Anolis sagrei: one gene and its partners. The protein of the gene in region 1 purifies or fractionates together with the protein of each later gene. This does not show direct contact. Links are inferred from orthologs where the notes say so. Each region holds a gene or a part of one and is shown in the gene's direction. Other genes may lie near its edges. The genes, in order: MECP2, DDX56, TBL1XR1 and GTPBP4.

Evidence for each region.
Region 2: the proteins of MECP2 (region 1) and DDX56 purify together in Homo sapiens (affinity purification with mass spectrometry; 3 studies listed by BioGRID and IntAct, with this or other methods). This does not show direct contact. The link is inferred for Anolis sagrei from reciprocal best matches to the Homo sapiens genes MECP2 and DDX56.
Region 3: the proteins of MECP2 (region 1) and TBL1XR1 purify together in Homo sapiens (co-immunoprecipitation; 3 studies listed by BioGRID and IntAct, with this or other methods). This does not show direct contact. The link is inferred for Anolis sagrei from reciprocal best matches to the Homo sapiens genes MECP2 and TBL1XR1.
Region 4: the proteins of MECP2 (region 1) and GTPBP4 purify together in Homo sapiens (affinity purification with mass spectrometry; 3 studies listed by BioGRID and IntAct, counting the BioPlex papers as one, with this or other methods). This does not show direct contact. The link is inferred for Anolis sagrei from reciprocal best matches to the Homo sapiens genes MECP2 and GTPBP4.

The regions. Positions count from the first base shown.
Region 1 is NC_090022.1:175,856,288-175,864,101, forward strand, and holds the start of MECP2 (methyl-CpG-binding protein 2), read left to right. Parts: upstream 1-4,800; 5' UTR 4,801-4,854; coding exon 4,855-4,892; intron 4,893-7,814. UniProt on the Homo sapiens protein: Chromosomal protein that binds to methylated DNA. It can bind specifically to a single methyl-CpG pair. It is not influenced by sequences flanking the methyl-CpGs.
Region 2 is NC_090027.1:20,961,317-20,969,257, forward strand, and holds the start of DDX56 (probable ATP-dependent RNA helicase DDX56), read left to right. Parts: upstream 1-4,930; 5' UTR 4,931-4,982; coding exon 4,983-5,039; intron 5,040-7,941. Other genes in the region: TMED4 (transmembrane emp24 domain-containing protein 4), read left to right, coding at 1-56, 223-372. UniProt on the Homo sapiens protein: Nucleolar RNA helicase that plays a role in various biological processes including innate immunity, ribosome biogenesis or nucleolus organization. Plays an essential role in maintaining nucleolar integrity in planarian stem cells.
Region 3 is NC_090023.1:256,414,277-256,421,578, reverse strand, and holds the start of TBL1XR1 (F-box-like/WD repeat-containing protein TBL1XR1), read left to right. Parts: upstream 1-4,293; 5' UTR 4,294-4,846; intron 4,847-5,202; exon of another isoform or gene 5,203-5,651; intron 5,652-7,302. UniProt on the Homo sapiens protein: F-box-like protein involved in the recruitment of the ubiquitin/19S proteasome complex to nuclear receptor-regulated transcription units. Plays an essential role in transcription activation mediated by nuclear receptors.
Region 4 is NC_090026.1:117,192,245-117,199,386, reverse strand, and holds the start of GTPBP4 (GTP-binding protein 4), read left to right. Parts: upstream 1-4,140; 5' UTR 4,141-4,202; coding exon 4,203-4,250; intron 4,251-7,142. UniProt on the Homo sapiens protein: Involved in the biogenesis of the 60S ribosomal subunit. Acts as a TP53 repressor, preventing TP53 stabilization and cell cycle arrest.

The DNA.
Region 1 (7,814 bases):
CTGAGATGGTTGAACTTTGGAAATATCATGAAAAGACAATATTGTTTGGGAAGGTAGAAGGCTGTGAGAGAAAAAGAAAGACAGCAAGAAAAGGGGATATAATCAATCAAGTAAAGAAGATTGGCCCTCAATCTGCATGAATTGAGTTGATGACTGGGTGACCTGGAACTCTCTCATTTATAGGGTGCCACAAGTCAAAGTAGACGTGAGAGAAATTAAAAACAACAAAGTGTCCAATTAATTTCATCATGGCTTAAATGCTCATATAATTAGAATAATTGCACATATTGCACTGCACCTTTTGATTGATCAATAAAAGATCACCACAAGATTTTGGAGATTTATATAAATCTGGAAACACTGGAATCTTGTACATATTTATTTTGCTGTGACCTGATTATTTCAGTGTGGCTTTTTTCAGAAGATATATTCAGTATTGTATTTAGAATGAAATCTATTTACATTTACTTAGGAGCAATACTTATAGAGCACAACAGAACTCACTTCTGCTAAACAATCATAGAACTGTACTGTCAGTATGCTTGGATGATGGTTTTAGTATAAAGACTATATTTTTCTGGCAAATACTTACACAAATAAAAAAAATCACAGAAATATTTCCCACAAAATAATCTTAATCATTGAAATTTTAGTATAAGGAAAATACAAACATATAAAACAGTTGAAACACACAAATATATTCTAAAACCTGTCACAATACTTTTCGGCTGGAATGACTGCATACTACAAATAAAAAATATATTTAAACTTTTATATATTTTTACTGTAGTCCTGATTCTTCTCATTTCCCGCATTATGTTAAAAGCTATAGAACAAAAGGCATTTAGAAGGAAATTATCTTTTTAAAATATTTATGAAAGGGCTGAGTTTTACAAAACAGAGTAATGAGGAAAATGTGTTAAAATGCTGTAAGCAACATGTAATTTGTGAAACAGATTGGTCTACAAGTTCATTTTTAAAAGGAACACTATTGTGATTCAAATTAGTGTGTCAAACATATGTAGGGACAGTGCAGCTTTGTTGCAGGGTTGAGATTGTATTGTTTGTGTGCATGTGCGAAGTGATTGTATAGGACATCATATGGATCCACTGAATGACTCAGCCATATTTCTATATAAATAGTGGGTGGGAGAATAGGATTCCAATCTGAGTAAGACTGTGATCATTAAGAGAATAACAGAGGGACTCTGACATGTTTATCCAGTTCAAATGGACGTGAAAAGACATGACTGTAGTTCAGTTGATGAAACTAGGACAGTTTTAGGTTGGCTGAGAAAAAAAATTGTAGGGCTTCCATGTGTTTAGCAGGTATTCTGAATTTAGTAAATGATGGTTTATCTGTCATGCATGTACACTGACATTAGGTTATATATGTAGAATAATTTTTTTGTCACAGATATACTAAAAACCCACGTGTCTTATAAGAAATGAATTTTGGAAAATGTAGTTGTGAAACAAATAGTGGCCAGAGAAAACTTCTGGTGTGATGTGGAAGGATTGCAGAGATAATAGATACGATGGACACAATTCTTGTGGACTTTGGTTTTAAAAATGTGAAATTATGCACATCATCAACATTCTTATTTTTAAACCTAGAAAATTAAATTCTGCTTGACAGCTTTTGTATTGGGCCTCCAGCATCAAGGTTTCTATACATTTGTGGACTTCAACATTCAGTAGGGGGCAGATGCGTGTCTAATGCATGCACATGGCAAATGACGGGACAGTAAAGTTTCCTGTTGTTTCATTTCCACACCTTTCCCACTCTAGTGATCTGTTCGTTTTCACTTGTATCTGCGTATTTATTTGGCATGTTATCAAAGCGACATTCAAGAGAAGTAGTCATTCCCAACACTGCTCACCATTATGAGGGAGAAAGGCATATCTTGCCCAACTGACAGCAATTGGTTGCCTTGCGGCCTTCAACATCAGTTCTGTTTCTCCTAGTGGTATGAGCCACATCAAGCACGTCTTCCACTAGGTTTCCTCCATCTCACTTATTTTGCATAAATGAATGTTATGTGGTAGCTTTTTATAGCACAAACATGGCTACACTGCTTTTAGAACAGGATACTCATATGAAGTGTATGTCTGGATTTACAGCTGACATTTCATATTCCTGGATTTCACATTTGCGGATTTGATTACTATGTTGTAAGAATGTCTAGATTCTCCAGCACAATTATACAATCAACGTCCACTGGAAGTTAATCATAAAGTCATGGTGACTTAGAAATTCCTAAAGTTATGTTCTCTCAGGTTAAAAAAACACCCTTTAAAATTCAATTTTTTCCACATTCATTGCTATACACTGAATCTGTCATGTTTCTGAATCTGTAAGTTAAAGTGAATTATTCTAATTTTCTGGGGAGCAAGCACCATTTTATCCAAAGGAAATTATATTGGAATAGACACTATGTAGGATTGCACTGTTAAAAGTACCAAAAGCCAAATGTTCATAATGATATTACTTGATGGTCATGTTTATGTAACTGTCTCTGTGTTTAATACAATATGGTAAACAAATGATACATTTTTATTTATAAAATTGTGATTTGAAGAAAATTTATTTGCCCAATCACTGACAACAGCCTAAAAGAATGGATTTTAGTTTTAGTTTGCGGTTTTAATCTACGGAATAAATTGTTTTTTGCGTCACGTATTACGTGTGTTGCGGGTTTATAATTTTATCAGATATGTTCTGATCTGTTGGTTATGTTTATTTTTATGTATGTTTTATTTACATGGTGTTGGCTGCTTTAAGTTCCGATTCGGAAGAAAAGTAGAAATAAATTCCGATTCGGAAGAAAAGTAGAAATAAATAAATAAGACTGGCATGACACTCTGCAATACCTGCTGAATTGAACACTATTTGTGTCTTAATATTTGCACTAAAATGTGTAATGCAAGGCCAGAAAGTTATTTTTGTTCTTTACAATATATTCTGTCTACAGGGGCGGCTCAACCCATTACGCAAAGTAAGCATTTGCAGTATAGTTGATTTTGCCCAGGAGTGCTCTTGAGGCATTCTTGGGGGAAAATAGACCTTGACATATGCCAGTTGTAGTTACTGGGATGTACAGTTCACCTACAATCAAAGAGCATTCTGAACTTCACCAATGATGGAATTGAACCAAATATGGCACACAGAACTCCCACGACGAACAGAAAATATATATCAATGATTGGTTGGGGGGAGGCGCCAAAATACTGTTTGCTTACTGTTGAAAATTACCTAGGGCCGCCTCTGTCTGTCTACTTGATCTTTATGAAACAAATTGCATTATAAGAATAATAATGGGAGAATTCAAGGTATTATTGGCTATATGCGAGTCAGTAGCGAGCCACTTCTTGAGTATTCCTTGCTAAAGAAAATCTTATGAAATTGACAGGGTTTCTATAAGTCAAGAGGCTGTTTAAGGACACACAGAGGAATAAACTAGTTTTAACAGTTCTGTCAGGAATATGAAAATAAATCACATCACGTCCTTTCTCCAGATATTAAAGGGTGTCTATTGTATCCTTTAGTGCAGGGGTCCTCAAACTTTTTAAGCAGAGGGCCAGGTCACAGTCCTTCAAACTGTTGGAGGGCCAGATTATAATTTGAAAAAAGCATGAATTAATTGAATTAATTCCTATGCACGCTGCATGTATTTTATTTGTAGTACAAAAAGCACTTAAAAACAATACAATAATTAAAATGAAGCATGAATTAATTCCTATGCACGCTGCACATATTTTATTTGTAGTGCAAAAAACACTTAAAAACAATACAAGAATTAAAATGAAGAACAATTTTAACAAATATAAACTTATTAGTATTTCAATGGGAAGTGTGGGCCTGCTTTTGGCTGCTGAGAAAGGATTGCTGTTGTGTGCTTTCAAGACTTAGGTCAACCCTGAACGAGGGCTGGGTAAATGACCTTGTAGGGCTGTATTCGGCCCTCGGGCCTTAGTTTGAGGACCCCTGCTTTAGTGTTTAGCTTTGAAAATAGGACAGGGATTTTTGTTTGTTATTCTCACCTGAGAGGGAGTGTTTTTTTCCCCATCTAGAGCTGCAGCACATCTGCTTTCCAATAAGAGGTATGTCAGCAAAGGCACACTATTTCCTATCCCTGCAGTGAAGCACATCGCCCCAGCTGGCCTCTTATGGTGGTGAATTTGCCACTAGGAATTCTGCCACTGCTGTGGTAAAGATGTATGCGGTGCTTTACAGGTGTGGGTGAGAACGCTGGACCATCTGAGGAGGAAACAAAATGCCTGTGATGTGGGTAAAACAGTCCTTGGGGGAATCTGTGCTGTCACGGTACAAGAATTGCTGTCATTCACGGAAATATATTATTTGTCCAGTTCGGCTGTTCAAAGGCCCTGAGGTGAATTGCGACCGTCTGTTGGTCTTCTCAGGAAGCTGTGGGAACATGACCTTGATGCTACTTGATGGGCCACATGAAAGGGACAGCCCTGACATATGCTGAGAAGGTTGCTCGCATGACGACAGGGAGCGGCCTGCTCAGGGGCGGCATTTCCAAACCCTTGAGGCCTGGTGGCGAGAGAGGGCCAATGGCGAAGAGCGCGGGCTCCTCTCCGCGGCCTACTTCGTACCGTTGTAACTGACAGCGCTTCCCGCCAATTCTAACGGCCGCAAGGAAGCAGGGCCGCCTCGCCCGTGTGGAAAGGCGCCGGCCAATCGCTCTCGGGGGGCGCCCTGACTGATGGGGCGCGCCGCCCAATGGCAGCCGAGGAGGGCGGGGCCTGGCTCTCCGGGTTTCCTCTCCGGCTCGGTTTCCCCCCCTCCTCTCCCCCCCCTCCCGCGGGTTCTTCGCTGCGAAGAAAATGGCGGCGGCGGCGCCGAGCGGAGATGAGGAGAGATTGTGAGTGACTCGAGGGGAAGGGGTGGGGGAGAGCCGGGCCGGACCATCGAGCCCCTGGCGCGGGGGGTCCGGGCGGGACCATCTGTGGCGTCCGGAGAGGGGGGAGAGGTGCGAGGCAGGGCTGCGGCCGCTGGGCTGCCTCTTTTTTTTCCCGCTCGCGGGCGCCCTCCCCTCCCCTCCCCTCCCTTCGCCTAGCCCTCCCTCCCGCCTGCCTTCCCTCCTGCGCGCGCCCAGGGCCCCTGAGTGCGTCACAGCGGTCCCCTCTGCCCAGCAATGGGAGGGGCCGGCCTTTCCGCAAGGAGGGAGGGGAGGGGGAGAGGGGCCCGGGTCAGGGGTCACGCCGAACGAATTCCTGGCGCGCGCGCCTGAATGGCCCCTTCAGGCAGCCTCCTCCTCCTCCTCCTCGCAGGGGGCCCTCCTCACTGCCTGAAGCTGCTACTTGCCCGACAGGCCCTTCAGGGACCTGCTCACACCAACTTCGCCAACGCAGGCTCCAGGTTGTTGGGGCCATTGGGCAGCATGTCTTTGCGGGAAGGCTGTATTTCAGGGCTCTCCTCTTGTGAAGGGCCCGACCAGGCCTACCCTGTGTACCACCAAGGGCCCTTCCACACAGCCACATAATCCAAAACATCGAGGCTGAACATCCCACCATATCTGCTTTGAATGGGTTTATCTGAGGGCCCTTCCACACAACCTTCCACACAGCCACGTAATCCAGAATATCAAGGCAGAAAATCCCACCAAACCTTTGAATGGGGTTATCTAAAGGCCTTTCCACACAGCCACATAACCCAGAATATCAAGGCAGAACATCCCACCATATCTGCTTTGAGTGGGGTTATCTGAGGGCCCTTCCACACAGCCACATAACCCAGAATATCAAGGCAGAACATCCCACCATTTCTGCTTTGAATGGGGTTATCTGAGGGCCCTTCCAAATAGCTACATAACCCAGAATATCAAGCAGAAAATCCCACCATTTCTGCTTTGATTGGGGTTATCTGAGGGCCCTTCCACACAGCTACATAACCAGAATATTAAGGCAGAAAATCCCACCAAACCTTCTTTGAATGGGGTTATCTAAAGGCCCTTCCACACAACCATATGGCCCAGGGCGCTTCCACACACCCCTATATCCCAGAATGTAAAGGCAGAAAATCCCACCAAACCTTCTTTGAATGGGGCTATCTAAAGGCCTTTCAACAGAACCATATAACCCAGAATATCAAGGCAGAAAATCCCACCATATTTGCATTGAATTGGGTTATCTCAAGGCCCTTCCACACAGCCATATAACCCAGAATATCAAAGCAGAAAATCCCATCATATCTGAATTGAATGGGGTTATCTGAGGGCCCTTCCACACAGCCATATGACCCAGGGCCCTTCCACACACCCCTATATCCCAGAATATCAAGGCAGAAAATCCCACCATATCCGCATTGAATGGGGTTATCTGAGGTCCCTTCCACACAGCCATATAACCCCGAAAATATCAAGCCAGAAAATCCCACCATGTCTGCATTGAATGGGGTTATCTGAGGTCCCTTCCACACAGCCATATAACCCCGAAAATATCAAGCCAGAAAATCCCACCATATCTGCATTGAATGGGGTTATCTGAGTCCACACTCAGATAATGTGGGATTTTCTGTCTTTATATTCTGGGATATAGGGCTGTGTGGAAGGGCCCTCTGTCATCTTTAAAAGCCTTATTGAAGAAAAGGGTTTCTAAGTCCACACTGCCATATAATTCAGTTCAATGTGGATTTTATACAGCTGTGTTGGAGGGACCTTAGAATTGCGGGAACTTTTAATATACTGTTTTTTCTCGATTCAAAAGCTCACTTTCCCCTCAAATAAACATATCTACAAATGGGGTATCTCTTAGTATTGATATGTATAGATATATAGATACAGTTTTTCTGTTGCTGTGCTAGAATTAATGTGCACGTTATAATCAATGGTGGTTTATAATGGATAAATACGGTATCTAAATGAAAAAAATTCTGTTGGTGATCCTGAATTTCTTACAACTGATTGCATCTTACAGTCAAGGAAATACATTATATTTATATACAGAGCTGCTCTGTAACATTGTCTGAAGAGTGTATGATATTTGTGAACTGCTGCTGACTTGTGGTCACCAGTGAATTTGTGATGAGGGGACAACTCTTGTGAAGAATAGCCACCTGGGCATGGGTGATGTATGGGGTCAGCATCCTCTGGAGGTGGAGATCAAGTGATCAGAGAAAACGGTTGCTCAGTTGCTTTCAGTAGCCTCAGTGGTCCAGTCCTTATCTCTTTCCACTGAGATATAGGCCTTCATAGGTTGGTGACTAATTGGAGTGAAGAGTACTGGTTCCTTGTGACCATCGTTTATTCAAAAATATAAGTCCATTGTGTGTCAGTCCTCTGAGGCAGGGTACTATGTAAGTGTCTAGGTCCATAAACAAATCACAAGTACATTTCCTTTCCCAATCTTGGTGGGGAGAATTGGGGTGTGATGATTGGAAATAATGGCCTTTACTGCTCTTGGTTAATCATTTATTCTCATTTTGGGGACTCTACTTGCTCAATGGCTTTATCTCTTTGTGCAGCTTAGGGTGGACCAAGTGTGGTGTCTGAGACCAATGTGAATTGATAAGTGGAGTCTGTAATGGTTTGAATCAGAACCACTATAACTTCTGCTTGCTTGTACTTTCCTCTCCCTCTGGTAGTCATGCTAAGAAGGATTGGATTTGCTGAGTCAAATGCCCTCGTTTTTATCTTGCAGAAAGGGAAAGAATATAGGGAATAGTTCATTAGTTCATTGGATACGGGCAATAGTTCATTTTACTTGTAGTGCTACAGAGCCAGCCCTCACTGCCAGAGTGCCTAAACTAAGAGGGCAAACAAGTGAAAGGGCATAGATGATCTGTT
Region 2 (7,941 bases), on another chromosome or scaffold:
CCAGGCAGCTCCTGGACCAAGTGGAGCAGATCCAGAAGGAGCAGAACTACCAAAGGGTGAGTTGGGAGAATCCTCCATTGCAAGTCCTGCCCTCCCCATCTACTTATGCAGCACAGTCCCTAGCCTTTGGCACACATTGGGCTTGGCTGGGGTCTTATTGGTGTCCTGTGGAGAGGCACGGGGCTGTGATTCTGTCACTGACAGGGTGCATCTGCTTTGCAGTACCGGGAGGAGCGTTTCCGCATGACCAGCGAGAGCACCAACCAGCGGGTGCTGTGGTGGTCCATCGCCCAGACGGTAATCCTCATCCTGACGGGCATCTGGCAGATGAGGCACCTCAAGAGTTTCTTCGAGGCCAAGAAATTGGTTTAGATCCTCCGGTGGCACACAAAAGCCCCCCGTCTTTGGCCACTACGGCACGTGTCATCACGCTTCCGGATTTCCTAAAGCACTGGACTGAAATGGAGGCCCAATACAGACTGCCCTTGGCTGAGCCACAAATACCCCTTTGCAAAGCCCACCATTCGCCCCCGGCTGCCCTTTTTAAGCCTGGACCTGTGCTCAGGAAGCTGGAATTCAGGGAATGCAGGACAACGGAAGGAGAAGGTGTTGCTTCTCGTGCGTAAAGAGGCCTCCTTTCTCCCCTTGTGCTGTCGCCCGATGGCTGAGATGACCCAAAGTGCCCCTCTCCTACTGGCTTTGTGTGACTGTGCTTCAATAAGCGCTTGGGGCCGCAGGGGAAATGGGGCGAAGGACATTTGTGCAATTTTTTGGGATGGTAGCATAGGCCAGAGCTCATTTGTGGACATCCTTGTCTTTGCAGGGGTAGCATATCTCTTTAAGAGGAACAACTCTTAGCACCAGTGACTAGGCCATCCTCACCATTTAAGAGTCAATAGGAGATCAATGCAGAGTCTTAGTATTTTGTTCTCCTCCTGATGCTGTCTCTGGTTCCTTGGCAGGGAAGCCAGTCACCCTTGGGGCCCAGAGGGTCAGGAAGAAGGGAGAAGGGCCCCTCCTGTTTCTGCTTGGACTGGGCCAGAGCTGGACCTTTGGCACCCTGAAATGGTGTCAAGGTTCCCTCCCGCCCCCCCTCTCCCACCGCTTTGGTCCCAAGGAGTCTTTGCTTCCCAGTTCGGTAGGGTATGTTCTTCCTAGTGTCCCTTGCTACGGTTTTTGGAGTGAAATAAACATTTTGCTGCAAGCACTGTTTCTTGTGTGTCGAAAGGGCCTTGGGCTGCATTGGGCTCCTGAGTCTGGCCCCTCTTCTCACTGGGAGCCCAAAGGGAGCCATCGGTGGTGGTGGTGGTGGCGGAGAGGGGGGCTGAGGGGAATCTGTTCATGGCCAGAGGCCCCAGCAAAGGGTACCGAGGGGCTGCTCATGTCATCAATAAAGCACCTTAAATTGTGCTTTAATCTGTTTTCAGTAGGACAGAGTGCATTAGGCACTTTCAGAGAAAGAAGGAGACACACAGTCTCCCTTCTTTCTCTTCCTTCCTCCTTCCCTGTTTCTTCCCATTTCTTCCCTCCTTGTTTCTCTCTTCTGATGCGGCAGCAAAAAAAGCCAATGGGATTTTGGTCTGCATCAATAGGAGTATAGTGCCTAAATCCAGGGAAGTAATGCTCCCCCTCTATTCTGACTTGGTCAGACCACACCTGGAATACTGTGTCCAATTCTGGGCACTACAATTGAAGGGAAATGTTGACAAGCTGGAATGTGTCCAGAGGAGGGCAACTAAAATTATCAAAGGTCTGGAGAACAAGCCCTATGAGGAACAGCTTAAAGAGCTGGGCATGTTTAGCCTGAAGAAGAGAAGGCTGAGAGGAGATATGAGAGCCATATGTAAGTATGTGAAAGGAAGTCATAGGGAGGAGAGAGACTGCCCTGGAGACTGGGACGCAGAATAATGGCTTCAAACTACAAGAAAGGATATTCTATTTGAACATTAGGAAGAACTTCCTGACTGCGAGAGCTGTTCAGCAGTGGAATTCTCTGCTCCAGAGTGTGGTGGAGGCTCCTTCTTTGGAGGCTTTTGAACAGGCTGGATGTGTTGGGGTGCTTTGAATACAATTTTCCTGCTTCTTGGCAGGGGGTTGGACTGGATGGCCCACGAGGTCCCTTCCAATTCTATGATTCTCTCCCACCTTTCATCCCTTCCTTCTTTCCTTCGTGTTTCTTTCCTTCCTTCCCTCCCTTTTCTCTCTTCTCCCTTCTTTCATCACCCCCTTGGGGTGAGAAAAGCGGTATATAAATGCTGTAAATAAATTTCTCTTGTTGTTTTTTCCCTCCTTTTTTCTCTCTTCCCTCCCTCCTTTCATCCCGCCTTTCTTTTCTTGTTTCTTCTTTACCTCCTTTTCTCTCTCTTTCCTCCCTCCTTTCATCCCTTTTCTCTTCCTGTCTTTTTCTTCCCTTCCCTGCTTTATTCTCTCTTCTCTCAGTCCGTTCATCCCTTCTTTCTCTTCCTGTTTCTTCCCTCCTTTATTCTCCCTTCCTGTCATCCATTCTTTCTCTTCCTTTCTTCCTGTTTCTTCCCTTTCCTCCTCTATTCTCTCTTCTCCCCGTCCTTTCATCCCTTCTTTCACTTTCTTCCTCTTTCTTCCCTCCTTTATTTTGTTCTCTTCTTCCTTTCATCCTTTCTTTCTCTTCCTTCCTTCCTGCTTTTTCCCTTCTTTCCCTCATTTTTCTCTTTTCCTTCTATTCCTTCATCCCTTCTTTCTTTCTTTCCTGTTTCATCCCTTTATCCGTTTCTTTTTCTCATCTCTCCCTTCCCTCATCATCTTTCTTTTTTTTTCTTTTCCTCACCTCCACCCATAGCTTCTCTCCCTTCCCTTTCTCTCTCTACTCTCCCTTCTTTTCCCTTCCCTTCTTTCTCTTCCTTCTTCTCTCCTTTTATCTATCTTCCCTTCATACTTTCTATCTTTTCTCCCTCTTTCCTCCCTTCTTTCTCTTTCTTACTTCCCTCCTTTTTTCCTTCCTTCATACCTTCTTTACCTATATTGATTACACAGACAAAAGGGGAACATCACATTTACTCCAAAATTCACTCATAATCCATTCGTTCAATGTTCATACTCGCCATCCTTCTTCATTCAGTCCATCAGGCTTCATTGGAAGAAGGAGGTGGGTACTCAAATCTGCATTCCTTGCAGTTCTGGCACACTTTCAAAGAGGAAAAGAGCCTCCTTATGTAGAACTTTTTTTGCTGCTGTTCTTGCTTGATTAGGAATTGAAGAGCTTAGACTTGCTCAAAGCTCTTCAGTTCCAGAAGATATGTTGTTTAACTTCCTTAACTTGCAGAGTCATTGTCTCTGGCCATGTAAACGTGTTGTTTACACAAAAAGTTCTCGGCTCCATTCTCATCAGTTTTCTCATAAGCACTTTCGTTCCAAAGTTAATCATATTCGGGTTTTAATTTTAGGGTGGCATTTTCAATCTCGCCAGACCTTAATAGGCCATAGCCAGACTCCAATCATACAATTTCATCGATCCGTCCCTCAGGCACACAGGGATTCTGCACTAGCTCTTCTGCCAAATGCTTTCAGGACTGTTCAGGAGTTTGTTTCCAAAAGTCAAATCCATCTGAACAAATTTAACAGGATTTTTTAAAAAACCAAGGTGCTATGAAATGCAATTTCCCAAGCCTGCGGACCTCCGTTCCTTCAGTGCTGGACAGGCCTACTTGAACCACCTTCTGCCTCTTCCATTTCGAGGAGAAAGAGGAGGACCACCTTCTGCCTCTTCCATTTTGTAGATGACGAGCCAGGCCCCATCTACACTGCCAGAGAAAGCAGTTTCGGAATGGTTTAACTGCATTCTGTTGCAGTGTAAGCTCATATAATTCTATTTCATGCGTTGGAATGGCATTCCCAAATGTTAAGTTATGACAGTGTAGATGGGGTGCCAGCTTCTGCTTTGAAATAGAGGCTGGAAGACCATCTGTTGGGAAGGCTTTGATGAGGCTCTTCCATTATGATGGTGATGATTATTAAGATATTACAATAGAGGCTGGAAGACCATCTGTTGGGAAGGCTTTGAGGCTCTTCCATAATGATGATGATGATGATGATTAATATATTACAATAGAGGCTGGAAGGCCATCTGTTGGGAAGGCTTTGATGAGGCTCTTCCATAATGATGATGATGATTATTAATATATTACAATAGAGGCTGGAAGGCCATCTGTTGGGAAGGCTTTGATGAGGCTCTTCCATTATGATGATGATGATGATTAATATATTACAATAGAGGCTAGAAGGCCATCTGTTGGGAAGGCTTTGATGAGGCTCTTCCATGATGATAATGATGATGATTAATATATTACAATAGAGGCTGGAAGGCCATCTGTTGGGAAGGCTTTGATGAGGCTCTTCCATGATGATGATAATGATGATGATGATGAATATATTACAATACAGGCTGGAAGGCCATCTGTTGGGAAGGCTTTGATGAGGCTCTTCCATGATAATAATGATGATTAATATATTACAATAGAGGCTGGAAGGCCATCTGTTGGGAAGGCTTTGATGAGGCTCTTCCATGATGATGATAATGATGATGATGATGAATATATTACAATACAGGCTGGAAGGCCATCTGTTGGGAAGGCTTTGATGAGGCTCTTCCATGATAATAATGATGATGATTAATATATTACAATAGAGGCTGGAAGGCCATCTGTTGGGAAGGCTTTGATGAGGCTCTTCCATTATTATTATTATTATTATTATTATTATTATTATTATTATTATTATTATTATTATTATTATTATACTATACAGAGGCTGAAAGGCCATCTGTGGGGAAGGCTTTGATGTTTGATGTTCAGAGGCTGGGTGGGAGCCCCCCTTCCCTCCCGGGCCTCTAGGGGGCAGCATCGGGCTGTTCTGGTCGCAAAGCTTGCTCTCGATGCTCCGTGCTTGATGTGCGCAGGCGCGGCGCCGTTTTCCGGCGGAAGTTGGCCCTCTGGCGAGTAGAAAGCAGCATGGCTGACGAGGAGCCGAGTTTCGAGCACCTGGGCCTGGATCCCCGTTTGCTTCAGGTCTGGACCTTGTTCATTCGCGCTTGCTTGCCTCCTTTCTTCCTTCCTCTTTCCTCCCCATATTCCATAACACAGGAGCATGGCAGTTAAAGTGGTGTCAAACTGCATTATTTTTACAGTGTAGATCAGGCATGGGCAAACTTGGGCCTTCCCTCCAGGTGTTAGGAATTGTGCAGTGAGCGAGTAGCCATAAAACTGCAAAGTCAATCAGTGAGAGTATCTGCATAGAGGTGGCCTGGCCTGTGTTGCCTGGAGGCACCCTCTATTTGGGAAGATTAACTGGCCCTTGATTGTTTGCTATCTGGGGTTCACCTGTTTCTGAGTGGTGTCCCTTATTTACTGTTTTGATTCTGATGTTTTTTTAATCCTCTAAGCCAGATTTTGTTTATTTGCATGGTTTTCTTTTTTTCTGTTGAAATCGTCCATGTGCTTTTGTGGATTTCAGTGGCTTCTCTGTGTAGTCTGAAAGGAAGCAGAGGATGCCTCCAGGCAACAACAGCCAGGCTACCTCTATGCAGATACCCTCACTGATTGACTTTGCAAACTTCATGGCTACTCAGAGCTATTAAAGCTTGCTAATTGCAACATTCACACTTGCTTCAAACAGACAAGGGTTCTTTCTTCCATCCTGGACATCATTCCACAGACCCTTTGCTGTTTGAAGCAAGTGTGGATGTTGCAGTTGGTGATCTTGATTAGCATTGAGTAGACTTGCAGCTGCAAAGTTAAGCAGTGAGAGTATCTGCGTAGAGCTGGCCTGGCTGTTTTTGTCTAGCAGTGGTTCTCAACCTGTGGGTCCCCAGATGTTTTGGTCTTCATCATCATCATCATCTTTAATTGCTTATTAACCGCCCTCCATCCGAGATACTCCAGGCGATTTACACTGCAGAAATTACACAGGATAAAACACATACAAATATTAAAGTTAACATGGGTCAAATGCTTTAGTAAAAAGCCAGGTCTTAAGTGCTAGGATAAAATGCCCTAAGTCACGCATGGTTCTCAGATAGGGAGGCAAGGAATTCCACAAGGCAGGGGCAGAAATAGAGAAGGCCCTGCGTCTGGTGCTTTCCAAGTGCACTTCCCTAGGACCCGGTATATAGAGCAGATCGCGTTGGGATGGTCGTGGCGACCTCCGATGATGGTAGAAGGAGAGACAGTCTCTAAGATACAATGGGCCCTGGCCATATAAAGTTTTAAAGGTCAGGACCAGCATCTTATACAAACCACGATACTCAATTGGGAGCCAGTGTAGATGCCGCAGCACTGGTGTTATATGGCATTTCATGGGGGTTTTTGTGAGTAACCTGGCTGCAGCATTCTGGACAATACGGAGCTTTCGGGTCGTAGAAATAAGAAGGCCAACATACAAGGTGTTACAATAGTCCAGCCTAGTTGTGACCGTGGCATGGATGACAGTTGCCAGAGCCTCATCCGACAGGTAAGGTGCCAGTTGCCTCACTTGTCGTAGATGGAAAAAGGCCTGTTTGTTGGCAGCAGCGACCTGAGCCTCTATCGTCAGCTGCGAATCCAAAACGACACCTAGGCTCTTAACGGTAGGCGATGGAGATAGAGCAGCGCCATCAAAGGTAGGTAATGGATGGGTCGGACCTATCGGGCGGCCATGCCACAGGATCTCAGTCTTCGCCGGATTCACCTTCAGTCTGCTAGCACGTAGCCAGTTTGACAAAGCCTCCAGGCATAAGGTGAAATTGTCTTCAACTCCCAGAAATCCTAACAGCTGGTAAACTGGCTGGGATTTCTGGGAGTTGTAGGCCAAAACACTTGGGGACCCCAGGTTGAGAACCACTAGTTTAGAGGCATCTTCAGCTATAGCAGAGCACTTGATGAGCCAGCGTAGACACAGAATACTACTTGAGAACACATAAATGCTGGACCACTCTGACAACCACCATATCAGACTACACAGAGAAGCCATTGAAATCCACAAGCAGACGTGGAGAAGTTCAACAGAAAGGAGGAAACCATGCTACCTCTATGCAGATACCCTCACTGATTGACTTTGCAAACTTCATGGCCACTCATGCTATTCAAGATTGCTAACTGAACCATTCACACTTGCTTCAAACAGACAAGGGTTCTTTCCCCCACTCTGGACATCATTCCACAGACCCGTGGCTGTTTAAGGGAAGTGCAGATGTTGCATTTGGTGAGCCTGAGTAACATTTAATTGGCTGTTAGGAATTGTGGGAGTTGAAATCCAAAACACCTGGAGGAAAGGCCGAAGTTGGCCCATGCCTGGTGTAGATGCACCCCAATCACAAACTGCCCTGCTTAGGTCTTGCAGATTCAGAGCCATGGCTTTCTTAGTGAAGACTGTGTGCCTGTCATGTGGAGTTCTTTCCTTTGAGGGAGAATTTATGCTTAAAAGAATATTTACAAACATATTAAATGCAGACAGTACACATGCCACACATATCACACACAATACCACATATAAGACCATTCTCTTGCCCACATCCAGAGTTGACCCCTCTCCCACTCACCCATACACCCACCACCTTGACTTCCATCCCTAGTCACTGTGATGCCTATAATGTTATTGACACTTTGGCACTTTAGTTGAGTATTGATGGCAGTTAGTTATAACCATAGATGGCGTGAGTTTTTAAATTGTGTGTTTTATTTTATGTGTTGATAGTGGTTATTTATAACTTTTATGTGATATTGTTTTATACTCATGAACAGTTGATGTTTATACTGCACTTGCAGTACCTTGTAACCTGCCTCAAGTCCCTTTTTTGGGAGATGGAGGCATGATATAAATAAAGTTGTTTATTATTGTGTTGTCGAAGGCTTTCATGTCCGGAATCACTGGGTTGCTGTAAGTTTTTCGGGCTATATGGCCATGTTCCAGAAGCATTCTCTCCTGACACTTCAC
Region 3 (7,302 bases), on another chromosome or scaffold:
ATCCAATTCGTCGTCCGAGATTGCTAATCCATGATCAAACATCATCAAGTCAAGTTAGCCAAAAACTTGCTGGAACATCCAAGTTTTAAGTTTTTTCCGAAATGCCATTAGCGAGGTGGCTGATCTTATTTCAGTAGGGAGGGCATTCCAAAGCCGGGGGGCCACCACAGAAAAGGCCCTATCTCTCGTACCCACGAGCCGCACCTGTGAAGCAGGTGGGATAGAGAGAAGGGCCTCTCCTGAAGATCTTAGGGTCCTGGTGGGCTGATAGGGCGAGATGCGTTCGGATAGGTATGTAGGGCCAGAACCGTTTAGGGCTTTAAAGGTCAAAGCCAGCACTTTGAATTGGGCTCGGTAGCTAATCGGCAGCCAGTGGAGCTGGTACAGCAGAGGAGTTGTATGCTCCCTGCGCCCTGCTCCTGTTAATACCATGGCTGCCGCCCGTTGGACTAGTTGGAGCTTCCGGGCCGTCTTCAAAGGCAACCCCACGTAGAGAGCGTTGCAGTAGTCAAGGCGGGATGTAACCAGTTAAGTATTTCAACCAGTTAAATGGAAAACTAATGCTTCCAGAGACTTTCAGGAGAGGAAATTTGTCCTTGCCACAAAAAGGGCCATCTGTGGGAGGGAACATAAAGCCACATAAGCAGCTGGGGGCAAATGAAGCCCTGGACCACGCTCTGGCCACCTTGCTGGACAGTTATCAGCAGAGCTTTCATCATCTGGTGGAGAACTTTGCCGTTGGAAAAGAGTCCCTTCTGTCACTGCTGTGACTTATGCTTCCCACACTCCACTGTTGTTTTGATGCTGTGCCTTCTTGACCATTCAGGACAATACGCAATAGGCCACACTTAGCTTTATCCTACTTCTCTTGTATTTCTTTCCTTTTTTTGTTAGTTTGCTTTCTAAATCTGTATTTTGCAGAGTGGTGTGTCTTTCCTGTTAGCCCTGGCTCCCTCCCCCATGTTTCTTTATCCTCTTTTGCCCTCCAACTTGCTCTGTTGTAGGTTTTTTCCCCCCTTTTAGTACATTTCATTTGAATTGTGCAGAACACCAAATAATGACTTGATCTGCTTAATGCAATTTCCTGGTTCTCTTGTGCTCTCTCTCTCTCTCGCCCGCTCAGAGGAAGAGAGATCCCTTCCCCCATGAAGTGTTTTTTCCATTCTGAATGCTATGCTGCTGCTGGCTTGAATGTTGCAATAAGAACTTCAAACAATGCCCTGTTCTGGTCATTGCACATCACTGGCTTCGTGTTTTTGAGACTGCACTGTTTTATTTATTTTTTGTACTTTTTTATATTTTGTTGTCTTTTTCACTCCCACCACACTGATATATTATTAAGCCGACATTAAACCAATGCAGACTTGTGGCTGGTACAGGAACTGAGCTTTTCTCTCTTATTACTTACTTAACAGTGCTGCTCCCATTTTTCTGTTTCATCTGCGTTACAATCTGGCCCACATATGTTCACCAACCAACCACTGCTTGAAAATATGCAAAAAAATTTACGAAAATGAAATTCTATTTTTTTATTTTGTATAGGTAAAGGTAGTCCCCTGAAATTAAGTCCAGTCATATCTGACTCTGGGGTGTGGTGCTCATCTCCATTTCTAAGCCGAAGAGCCAGCGTTGTCCGTAGATGCCTCCAAGGTCATGTGGCCGGCATGACTGCATGGAGCGCCGTTACCTTCCCACCGGAGCGGTACTCATTGATCTACTCACATTTGCATGTTTTCTAACTGCTAGGTTGGCAGAAGCTAGGGCTGACAGCGGAAGCTCATGCCGCTCCCCGGAATTGAACCTGCGACCTTTCGATCAACAAGCTCAGCAGCTCAGTGCTTTAACCCACTGCGCCACCGGGGGCTCCCTTATTTTGTATAGGGAACACCATTCACATCATTATATATAATGGTGGCATAGCAGTTAAATTGCTGAGCTGCTGGACTTGCTGACTGAAAGGTTGGCAGTTTGAATCCAGGGAGTGAGGTGAACTCCCGCTGTTAGTCCCAGCTTCTGTCAACCTAGCAGTTCGAAAACATGCAAATGTGAGTAGATCAATAGGTACTGTTTCAGCGGGAAGATAGCAGCGCTCCATGCAGTCATGCTGGCCACATGACCTTGGAGACGTCTACGGACAATGCTGGCTCTTCGACTTAGAAATTGAGATGAGCACCACCCCCCAGAGTCGGACACAACTAGACTTAATGTCAAGGGAAAACCTTTACCTTTTTATATATAATGGTACTTGCGCATCCATGGATTTTGGTATCCACACCAACCTCAGTGGACACCAAAGGCTCTTGGTACAAAAAAATAGTAGGGAAAGGTCACTATAGAAGGGCAAATGTGGGCTTTTCTACCAAATTATTATCCCGTGTTTGCCAATTCAGGAATGACTTTCTCATATTGCTTATAGGTGTTTCCTGTATTTGAAAAGCGGATATTTTTGCTTTCACAGACCCCAGATATTTTTCACGGAACATTGTGCCACATGTAACAACACCTCTCCCCCCCTCCCAAATTGTAGCAATTTATTATACAGTATTGAAGAAATGACCTTGAAGGAGTTGGGGGTGGTGACGGCCGACAGGGAGCTCTGGCGTGGGCTGGTCCATGAGGTCACGAAGAGTCAGAGACGACTGAACGAATGAACAACAACAGCAACAACATTGAAGAAATAGGATATCAGTTGTTTTGTAGCAGCAATTGCTGTACTCTTAACTTACCAACCGGGATCTTGCTATGAACCTCCATATCTATAGGAAAAACATTTCTGGACTGGGCGTGGATATGCGAAATTGCAGATAATAGCGAACTCCACTGAAATGAAGGCATTCCGAATTATATCATCATGTTGTTAGAGGACCTAAAAATGGTTATGTGGCTAAATAAAACTGTATGTACTATCCCTATGGATACAGGGGCCAAATTGTGCAGTATACATTTATAATCCTAGAAGAATGGGGAGGGGAATATTGTTGCACTTCCAGCCATCCAATGCCCTTTACTGCTTTACAGGTCTCAAAAGGAGATTCTCCACTCCGCATTTTCCTGTTTTCTGATAGTGCTGCTGATCTTCTCTCCTTTCCCTGAGTGCATCAAAACATAATGCTCTTGAATATTATTTATTTTATTTATTTAAAACATTTCTATTCCGCCCTCCTCACCCCAAAGGGGACTCAGGGCGGAGCACAGCATATACAGGGCAAACATTCAATGCCGAGACACAAATTCACATACAATACATAAACATTAAAAAACATTTGTCAAAATATTAAAATACATGATTTAAAAATACACAATTCCTAGTAATCCGGAATTGGCCTGGTCATCTTTCCTATTGCCGCTTTATTGCCCTGTCCCAAAAGCTTGGTCCCACAGCCAAGTTTTTACCATCCTTCTAAAGGACAGGAGGGAGGGGACCGACTTGATCTCACCAGGAAGGGAGTTCCATAGCTGAGGAGCAATCACCGAGAAGACCTGTCTCTCATCCCCACCAATCGTGCCTGTGACAATGGGGGGACGGAAAGCAGGGCCTCCCTGGAGGATCTTAATCTCTGTGATGGTTCATAAGGGGAGATGCGTTCAGACAGGTCTGGGTGCCTGTGACCACAATGAATATTGAATTTTCCACTCAAAACCACTGCTCTAGAACATGGCCATATAGCCTGAGAAAACCTACAACAGTGGTTCTCAACCTGGGGTCCCCAGATGTTTTTGGCCTACAACTCCCAGAAATCCCAGCTAGTTTACCAGCTGTTAGGATTTCTGGGAGTTGTAGGCCAAAAACATCTGGGGACCCCAGGTTGAGAACCACTGCCCTACAACAACCCAGTGATTCCAGCCATGAAAGCCTTCCACAACCCTGCCACCCATTTTTCTTGCCAGGGTTTCCCTTCCTCTTCTCCTTCCTGCCCTTGCATTTTGCAAACTGTGTGTGATATCATAACCTCTTTTTTTTCTTTGCATTCCTCTCCAGCCACACCTTATTTTATATTTTTTGCAGACCTGGAAATCTCCCCCACTTCCTCTCCAAAATATGCCTGCCTTTATCTTCTCTGCACCTTCTCCTGCATGAGTTTTTTGGGGGGTTTTGTTTTTGCATGCCATCTGGTTTGTTTTTTGCAAGCAAAGAAGCAACCAGGCCTGCTTGCTTGCCTCTCTCCTCCCTTCCCTCTCGTCTCTCCTTCTGTATGTGTGCATGTGTGTGTGTATTAGCCTCTCTTTTTTCCCTCTCTCTCTCTGCTCATTTCTGTCTGGCTGGCCACCTTCCTCTCTCTCTCTCTTTCTCTCTCCCCAATGCTGAGTGTCTGCGAGCCGTTGGCTGCTCTGAACCGTTTTGGCTCCTTCCCTTAGTAACAGCTTTAACATTCTGCCTCAATTCCTCTTCAATCTAAATCACACACACACTCACATACAGACACAGAGATTACTTTTTTTTATTACCCTCCTCCTCCTTTCCTCGGGACTTAATCTGTAATCTCTCCCCTCCTCCTTCTCTTCCTCCTCCCAGAAACCTTTCTGATTTTATTTTATTTTTTTCCCCAATCCCCACCCCCAACACTTACACACACACACACACACACACAGGCTTGGGATATAATTGAATACCTTGCATTCTTGGTGTGACTATTTGTGGTTCTTTCCTCTCCCTTCCCCCCTTCTTTCCCCACCATCATTATTCCCACTATTATTATTTTCTTGGGTTTGCAAAAAAAACCCCAACATATATATGTTGCTGCATTGGTAACAGACCCTATCTATGGTTTCCTTTTTTTCCCTCCCCCTTCCGTTGCAAAATAAAGGAGGAGGGGGTGAGAATAGACAGCGAGGCATCCATTGCAAGGTAAGAAAAAACATCCAAAAATAATAATAATCAAAAATTGACAAAAGAAGAAGAAGAGAGGGTTGTGCGTAAAAGTCTTTTGGTGGAAACATGGAAAAAAGAGACATTGGAGACATTGTTTTGCATGGTGGGGGGCTGGGGTTGCTTTAAAATAAAGGGGAATTCATGTTGGGATAGTGTATTTTTTCAAGAGGGGGGAGATCAGAAGATATTGGCCTGTGTTTGTGAATTGGAGGAGGGAGAGAATTGGGGGTTTGGATTTGCAGCCTGGATTTCTCAGCTCGGCCCTCTCTTTCCTTCCCTTGGAAGTGGGGGTGACTTTTCCCCTTTAATCCCCCCTCCTTTTGGTTTCTTGCCTGTGATGTTTTGGAGGTTTCCCCCCTCCTTCAAACCCCTCCCCCTTCAGCCTCTGACCCCTTTATTTTCCTAGGAAAATGGTGGAGATGGGGGAGGGAAAGTAAGTGCCTTTTGGAGAGGCGAAAAAGGGATTTGCGCAAATAAATGCAACCCAGCAGCCATGATGAAGAAGCCAGCTGGTTGGAGAGCCTATTTTTAGACCGATTTGGTGGTGAGGGTGTCTCTCTCTGTGTGTGTATCTATCCCTGTGTGTGTGTGTAAAGGAAAGGCGACGACTTCTTTCCAGGCACAACACACAGAGGTGTGTGTGTGTGTGTATTTTGAATGTCCTGCGCCTTGGGAAGGAAAACGCACACACAGAGGCGCACGGCGGGGCACCTCCATGTCTCCATAAATTTCGCTCGGAAGTGGGGTGTTTTTCTCCACCTGGGAATGTATTTTTGAAAAGGTCAGTAAGGTGTTTTTTTAAGGTTGGGGTGAGGGGGAGGGAAAGTTTGATTTCGCTTGGGGGTTGTGTCTTTAAAAGCTGTGTTTGCAAAGAGCCTTGGGGGAAGGGAGGAAATGGCTTGGTGGCTCAACTCAGGCTGGGGTGGAGGAGGGGAAGGAGAAGCACTGAGCTGCTTGGGTGTCTCTCTCTATTTTTGCACTGTATTCGTTTAAAAAGGCCTGCATTTGAAATATATTTGTGCTGAAAGGTAGCCTGAGCGTTTGGTTTCGGGTCTGGTTTGACTTGATTTCCCAAAGAGACAACATTGAAGCCCCTGGAGACTTCTGAAGTTGGAGGTGTCTTTGGAGAGAAATGGGGAAAGCACCAGAATTGTTATGGAAGAGTTTCTTGTGAACTTCTGCTGGGTTTAAAAATGTGGACAGCCTACACACCTGCATATGTGTGTGTTTATATGTATATGTGGTTATGTATATCTATCTAGGTATAGATTATGCCCCTTAAATTTAGAAATCTTGCTGTTTAGAGAGTCCACGTGTAAAAAGTCTGAAATGTCAGACAACACCCTGCAATAGTGATATTTTCCCTCCTTTTAGAAGTGTTTGGTTTTGGCCTGATTTCCCAAAAAGACAACATTGAAGCCCCTGGAGACTTCTGAAGTTGGAGGTGTCTTTGGAGAGAAATGGGGAAAGCACCAGAATTGTTGTGGAAGAGTTTCTTCTGAACTTCTGCTGGGTTTAAAAATGTGGACAGCCTACACACCTGCATATGTGTGTGTTTATATGTATATGTGTGTGTATATAGATAGATATAGATTATGCCCCTTAAATTATGAAATCTTGCTGTTTAGAGAGTCCACGTGTAAAAAGTCTGAAATGTCAGACAACACCCTGCAATAGTGATATTTTCCCTCCTTTAAGAAGTGTTTGGTTTTGGCCTGATTTCCCAAAAAGACAACATTGAAGCCCCTGGAGACTTTTGAAGTTGGAGGTGTCTTTGGAGAGAAATGGGGAAAGCACCAGAATGGTTATGGAAGAGTTTCTTGTGAACTTCTGCTGGATTTAAAAACGTGGATAACCTACACACCTGCATATGTGTGTGTTTATATGTATATATGTGTATGTATATCTCTATATAAAGATAGAAATAGATTATGCCCCTTAAATTAAGAAATCTTGCTGTTTAGAGAGTCCATGTCCACGTGTAAAAAGTCTGAAGTGTCAGACAACACCCTGCAATAGTGATATTTTTTTCTCCTTTTAGAAGTATTTTGGTTTTGGCCTGATTTCCCAAAAAGACAACATTGCAGCCCCTGGAGACTTCTGAAGTTGGAAGTGTCTTTGAAAAGAAATGGGGAAAGCACCAGAATAGTTATGGAAGAGTTTCTTGTGAACTTCTGCTGGATTTAAAAATGTGGATAACCTACACACCTGCATATGTGTGTGTTTATATGTATATGTGTCTGTATGTATATATTTATAGATATAGATTATGACCCTTAAATTTAGAAATCTTGCTGTTTAGAGAGTCCATGTCCACGTGTAAAATGTCTGAAATGTCAGACAACACCCTGCAATAGTGATATTTTTTCCTCCTTTAGAAGTGTTTGGTTTTGGCCTGATTTCCCAAAAAGGCAACATTGCAGCCCCTGGAG
Region 4 (7,142 bases), on another chromosome or scaffold:
GCATCTACACTGTAGAATCAATGCAGTTTGACACCATTTCAACTTTTTTTTTCGTGTCAGAAGCAACTTGTGAAACTGCAAGTTGCTTCTGGTGTGAGATAATTGGCCGTCTGCAAAGATGTTGCCCAGGAGACTCGGATGTTTTACCATTCTGTGGGAGGCTTCTCTCGTGTCCCCACCTGAGAATCTGGAGCTGACAGATGGGAACTCACCTCACTCCCTTGATCCTAACCACTGACCTTTCGGTCAGCAGTCCTGTTGGCACAAGGGTTTAACCCATTGCGCCACGGGGGGGGGGGGGGGGGCTCCTACCACTTCAACTGTCACCACTTCAATTGTCATGGCTCAATGTGATGAAATCCTGGTGTTCTCAAAAAATCTTACCCACAAAAACACGAATTATTCTGAATCATATACATCTCCTTGAACTGGAGCCACAGTTTTAGCTGTTGCTGAAATCACTCAAAACTGGGAGCTGTAGTGTGGTGAGTCACCAATTGTTTCGAAGGGGATACTGTTGTCAAACAGTAATACCCACCCCTCCAAATAAAATGGAGACTCAGTATCCGTGGGAGTTGTAGTTTTCTGGGGGCGAAGGGCCTCAATGAGTTGCCATGGCCCTTGCCCCACTGAGTCTCTCCAGTTGCACCCAAGCACCCCTAACCAGCAACACATAACCCCAATTTTCCCAAAACCCCACCATCCATGCTGCTGGCCTGGCCAGCTCAGTCGGTTTACTGGGATCTTTCTACCGCAGTGCACAAGCGCAGCCTGGGGAAGCCAGACAGAACTGGTGCTATAGAGTATCACTGGCCTTGCTGCCAGAGATACACTGTATCTGTCTTCCTCCCTCAACAGACTTCATTGCTTTCCTCTCCATTTTGCCCCACTATCTATAACTATTTTCTTTTTATTATTTTTCTCACTGCGGATCTGCACACGTGAGCATCCTATAAAATATAACAAAAATAAGGCTATCAGCCACCCCCTCTCCCCTGACCCTTTATGAAATAAGACACATTCTCCTTTCACCTCTTCTTTGGAAGCTTTTAAACAGAGGCTGAATGGCCATCTGTCAGGGGTGATTTGAATGCAATATTCCTGCTTCTTGCCAGGGGGTTGGACTGGATGGCCCATGAGGTCTTTTCCAACTCTTTGATTCTATGATTCTCTTTATTTCTATATGTTTTATGAAATAGTGAACTTTGAAGGGAAAACTCAAGTGAACTCCAGGAACCTTTGAACAGTCTCCCTCTAGGACCCCTCCCAGGGCCAGTTTTGGATAACCATCAAGGTGACAAAGACCCTTGCTGGCAAACAACAGAAGAACTCCAGCATGCCACCTGAAACTTCCCTCTGGGAGATCGCCACCATCTGTGAGACAATAACCCAAGAGGAGACACACTCAAGTCTCCTATTGACACACTGGGCTTTGTCATTGTCCCTCTCCTGAGAAAGTGCTTGAGTCTGGCAAGTCACTATTGTTCCTGAGTCCTGGACTCAATATCGCATAATCTGGTCATTTAATTTTTTGGACTTACATTATCTTTGGATTAACACTGTGATGGCCTGTCTGGCCTCACCACTGGAGGCCCCAGGGCCATGTCACCACCTCCCCAACCAATTGGAGAGCAAGCCAGCAAGGTTCCACTCCCTGATCAATCAGGAGGATGGCTTTTTTGCATGGCTGGGAGGGAATTTCAAGCAAATAGCAATGTTAACGCATGGAGTTCTATGTGTATAAATATGGCCACCTTTTCCATATTCGGTAAACTTACACACTTTGAGCTTTTGTTCCCATGTGAGCCTCCCTTCCGCAGATTAAATTGTTGATTGTCTGGTTGATAGGGCGATAAAACTGCTCCGACACACAGCCATAAAGCAATAAACCAATTAGCTTTATTTACAGACTATATACATATGAGAGTTTTACGGTAGCGTCTGCCTGTGGCAAAAGACAACTCATTATTATTATTATTATTATTATTATTATTAACTTTATTTGTACCCCGCTAGCATCTCCCGAAGGACTCGATGCGGCTTACAAAGGCCAAGGCCTAAAAACACAACATAACAATATACAACCTAACACAAATTAAAAACAGTTAAAGCAATATTAAACAACAAGCAATAAACAATACACCAAGACACAGTAATAGCTACTCGGATTCTTCTTCACACTCAGTAGAACACGCCTACTTACATTCCATAGAAGGCATCATACGTCACATACAGGAAGCAGCAGACCCGTAGCCAGGATTTCGTTTGGGGGGGGGGGGCTGATTTTTTTTCAGGGGGGTTGGGGGGGCTGAGTTTCGGGGGGGGGGGTTGAGTCTGAGTGAAAGAGGGTCTAGCCTAGCAAACCTTTTGTATCATTACCCCAATGCCCCCATGCATATGGGATATATTGAGTATGGTGATCAGATCATGATATGAATAAACATAACAGTTTAAATAATGCACCAGTAAGGCCTTTTCGCGAACCACCATGAGAATTTCGGGGGGGGGGGGGGGGGGCGAAGCCCCTCAAGCCCCCCCCCCCCCCCCCCCCCCGGCTACATGCCTGGGAAGCAGGAACAAACACACTTAACACTATCCCTGCTGAACATTATTACATACACATGCTTACAGCATTAAATCACATTTTGGAAATCTACTATATAACCCAAAATACAGAAACTGACATAAATTTGCTAGATTATTTTCCTCTGTATCCGCAGGGTAACTAAAACGTCACATTTTCCGCTTCAATACTAAAAACTTCGTAAAATATAGCTCCCATAATTCCATAACATTTAACCATGGGGCCAAACTGCCTTAAATCTGCAGTGCAGATGCCCTATCCTCAGGCCTGGAGTTTATCCCATCCAAACTGAAGAATTGGCAACTTCATCTGGTATTTTGTATTTTGTTGCACGGAAAACATGGCCATGCAACAAAATCACCATATGTTTCCTGTTTCCAAATTATGCCACAAAAGGAACCACGTTTGGACTTCTTCCTCAAACAAAGATAAAACTTTCATTCAGACAACATTTGGAACGTGTTGAAGGCTTTCATGATTGGAATCACTAGGTTGTTGTGAGTTTTATGGGTTGTATGGCCATGTCCCAGGAGCATCCTCTCCTGACATTTTGCACACATCTATGGTGGGCATCCTCAGAGGTTGTGAGGTCTGTTGGAAACTAGGCAAGTGAGGTTTATATATCTGTGGAATGTCCAGGGTGGGAGAAAGAACTCTTTGTTTGCTTGTGGAAAGTGAGAATGTTGCAATTGGCCATCTTGATTGGTATTGAATGGCCTTTCAGCTTCAAAGCCTGGCTGCTTCCTTTGTTGGGAGCTGTTAGCTGGTTCTGATTCATGTCTGGAATTCCCCTGTTTTCTGAGTGTTGTTCTTTATTTACTGTTCTGATTTTAGAGTTTTCTATCATACTGGTAGCCAGATTATTTTCAATGTATTGTCGAAGGCTTTCATGGCCGGAATCACTGGGTTGTTGTAGGGTTTTTTTGGGCTGTATGGCCATGGTCTAGAGGCATTCTCTCCTGACGTTTCCCCTGCATCTATGGCAAGCATCCTCAGAGGTAGTGAGGACCTCACAACCTCTGAGGATGCTTGCCATAGATGCAGGCGAAACGTCAGGAGAGAATGCCTCTAGACCATGGCCATACAGCCCAAAAAAACCTACAACAACTCCGATTATTTTCATTTTCATGGTTTCTGTTGAAATTGTCTACATGCTTGTGGATTTCAGTAGCTTCTCTGTGTAGTCTGACATGGTGGTTGTGAGAGTGGTCCAACATTTTTGTGTTCTCAAATAGTATGCATTTGGAACACTTTCTGATTCAGGCATTACATTCCCCTTTTAAGTAACTTTCAAATATGATGAGAGCTGGAAAAAGAATGTGCACTTCATCCTCCTGGGCAGCAGGTGGCGTGAAAGGGAATCTTTCTTCCATTTGGATGAAGCAAACAGAGAAGAATGTGCTTATTAAAGTGAATTTAACTCGGAAGGTAGCTGTGTTGAAAGCGGATGTGACTCTATAGAAATCGTAAGTCTATTTTAACAGACAGAAGCCTGGGAGCATTCCTTTTCTCGCGTGCCGGTTTCATCTCGCGAGAGGTGGGAACCCGGAAGTCCCTCCTCCAGGCGCCGCTCTGCCTTTTCCTGCTGGGCCGGCCGTCAGGCGAGGAGGCCGCAGCCATGGCGCTCTACAACTTCAAGAAGATTATGGTGGTCCCGTCCGCCAAGGTAAGGAGAGAGGCCCCTCCACGCTTGGGCCCGGTTTCTAATAGTGCGGCTGGGCCGTCCCCGTGGCTACTGGTCAGGCTTGTACGCGACGTGGGGAGGAACCACGTGTCCCTCTGCGAGCAGGCTTTCCTCCTCGAGGCGCCTTTTAACTCTCAGGCAGAAATCCAACAGGTGGCGCTCGTTCTTTAGAACAATGGATGATGGGACTTGCAGTACCTTCACTCACTTCCTGAAACCACAGTGACATTCATCCAAATACCAATAAAGACCAAACTTGGCACAGAGAGCCCCCATGGCCAACTCAACATTCTGGTGATGTTTGAGGGAGACTATGGATGATGGGACTTGCAGTACCTTAACACACTTTCTGAGACTGCTGTGACCCTCATCCAATGACTGATCAAGACCAAACTTAGCACAGAGAGCCCCCATGACCCTCTCTCCATCCTGGTGCAGTTTGGAGGACGATGGACCACAGATGATGGGACTCACAGTACCTTCACTAACTTCCTGAGACCACTGCGAGCCATATAAATAACTGATAAACACCAACCTTGATATACAATTCCTTTCTCTAATAACCCGGGCAGCGCCGGGTCCCCAAGCTATTGGATGTAGGGAGGAATTACTAATGCAATGAATTGATTGTCGAAGGCTTTCATGGCTGGAATCACTAGGTTCTTGTGGGTTTTTTCGGGCTATAGAGGTAGTGAGGATGCTTGCCATAGATGCAGGCGAAACGTCAGGAGAAATGCCTCTAGAACATGGCTCTATAGCCCGAAAAAACCCACAAGAACCCAATGAATTGATGTTTGGGTACTTAATCAATTTTAATTGATTGACCACCATGGGTGCAACTATCCAGGCCTGGGCCAACTTGGGCCCTCCAGGTGTTTTGGACTTCAACTCCCACAATTCCTAACAGGCTACCAGATGCTGGGAATTGTGGGAGTTGAAGTCCAAAACACCTTTGTACAATCGTGTGTACAAAGTGTAAAACAGAGGACTCAACACACAGCCCTGTGATGCCCCAGTGTTGAGAGCTGATGAAATATGGTGACCTAATCTAATGTTTAGCTGCAGCCCAGCTTTTGCGCTTTCTTCTCTAACCAAGGTGAAAGAAGAAAGCGCAAAAGCTGGGCTGCAGCTAAACATTAAAAAAACGAAGATTACGGCAACAAGAATGATTGACAACTGGAAAATAGAGGGAGAAAATGTGGAGGCCATGACAGACTTTGTATTTCTAGGCTCAAAGATTACTGCAGATGCAGACTGTGGCCAGGAAATCAGAAGACGCAATGTCCAGTCTCGATAAAATAGTAAAGAGTAGAGACATCACACTGGCAACAAAGATCCACCTAGTCAAAGCCATGGTATTCCCTGTAGTCACCTACGGATGTGAGAGCTGGACCTTAGGGAAGGCTGAGCGAAGGAAGATTGATGCTTTTGAGCTGTGGTGCTGGAGGAAAGTGCTGAGAGTGCCTTGGACTGCGAGAAGATCCAACCAGTCCATCCTCCAGGAAATAAAGCCCGGCTGCTCACTGGAGGGAAGGATACTAGAGACAAAGTTGAAGTACTTTGGCCACATCATGAGGAGACAGGAAAGCCAGGAGAAGACAATTATGCTGGGGAAAGTGGAAGGCAAAAGGAAGAGGGGCCGACCAAGGGCAAGATGGATGGATGGCACCCTTGAAGTGACTGGACTGACCTTGAAGGAACTGGGGGTGGTGACGGCCGACAGGGAGCTCTGGCGTGCGCTGGTCCATGAGGTCACGAAGAGTCGGAGACGACTGAACGAATGAACAACAATCTAATCCTCTGGGAATGTCCAGACAAGAAGTCCATAATCCAGGAACAGTTTGAATATGACAGTCAAAGATCCATAAGTGCGAGTGCAGCATTTTCCCAAATGAAGCAGAGAGTGTTTGAGAACCGAGACATCCATAGGGATACCAAGGTGCTTGTCTACAAAGCTATTGTCCTCCCAACCCTGCTATATGCCTGCAAAACGTGGACTGTCTACAGTCATCACATGCAACTCCTGGAACGATTCCATCAGCGCTGCCTCCAGAAAATCCTGCAAATCTCATGGGAAGACAAGCGGACAAATGTCAGTGTGCTGGAAGAAGCAAAGACCACCAGCATTGAAGTGATTGTCCTCTGCCATCAACTCCGCTGGACCAGCCACGTTGTCCGGATGCCCGACCACCATCTCTGTTCCGTTGTGCCTTCCCGGATTAAGAATCCCCATCCCAAGTCCTAGTAGCACTTTAGTACAATTAACGCTGCTGCACACCGTACTTTAATTCCTACGCCCCTCCTGCCATTTTCAGCACTTTAATCATGTACCCCTCTCGCCGGCCGAACCAGTTTTTAATATGTCTTGATGTATTGTTATTGCTGTTTCGCTAATTTTTGATTTGTTTCGCTTTTGATGTTGATTTGCTTTGTTATTACTTGTTATGTTTTCTATTGTATTGTGTGTTGTGGCTCCGGCCTGTGTAAGCCGCATCGAGTCCTTCGGGAGATGCTCGCGGGGTACAAATAAAGTTAATAATAATAATAATAATCTCCCAAAGCAGTTGCTCTACTCCGAACTCAAGAACGGAAAACTGAAAGTTGGTGGACAGGAAAAGAGATTTAAAGATGGGCTCAAAGCCAACCTTAAAAACTCTGGCATAGACACTGAGAACTGGGAAGCCCTGGCCCTTGAGTGCTCCAGCTGGAGGTCAGCTGTGACCAGCAATGCTGCAGAATTTGAGGAGGCACAAATGGAGGGCGAAAGGGAGAAGCGTGCCAAGAGGAAGCCGCCTCAAGCCAACCCCGACCGAGACCTCCTTCCACCTGGAAACCAATGCCCTTACTGCGGAAGAAGATGCAGAGCAAGAATAG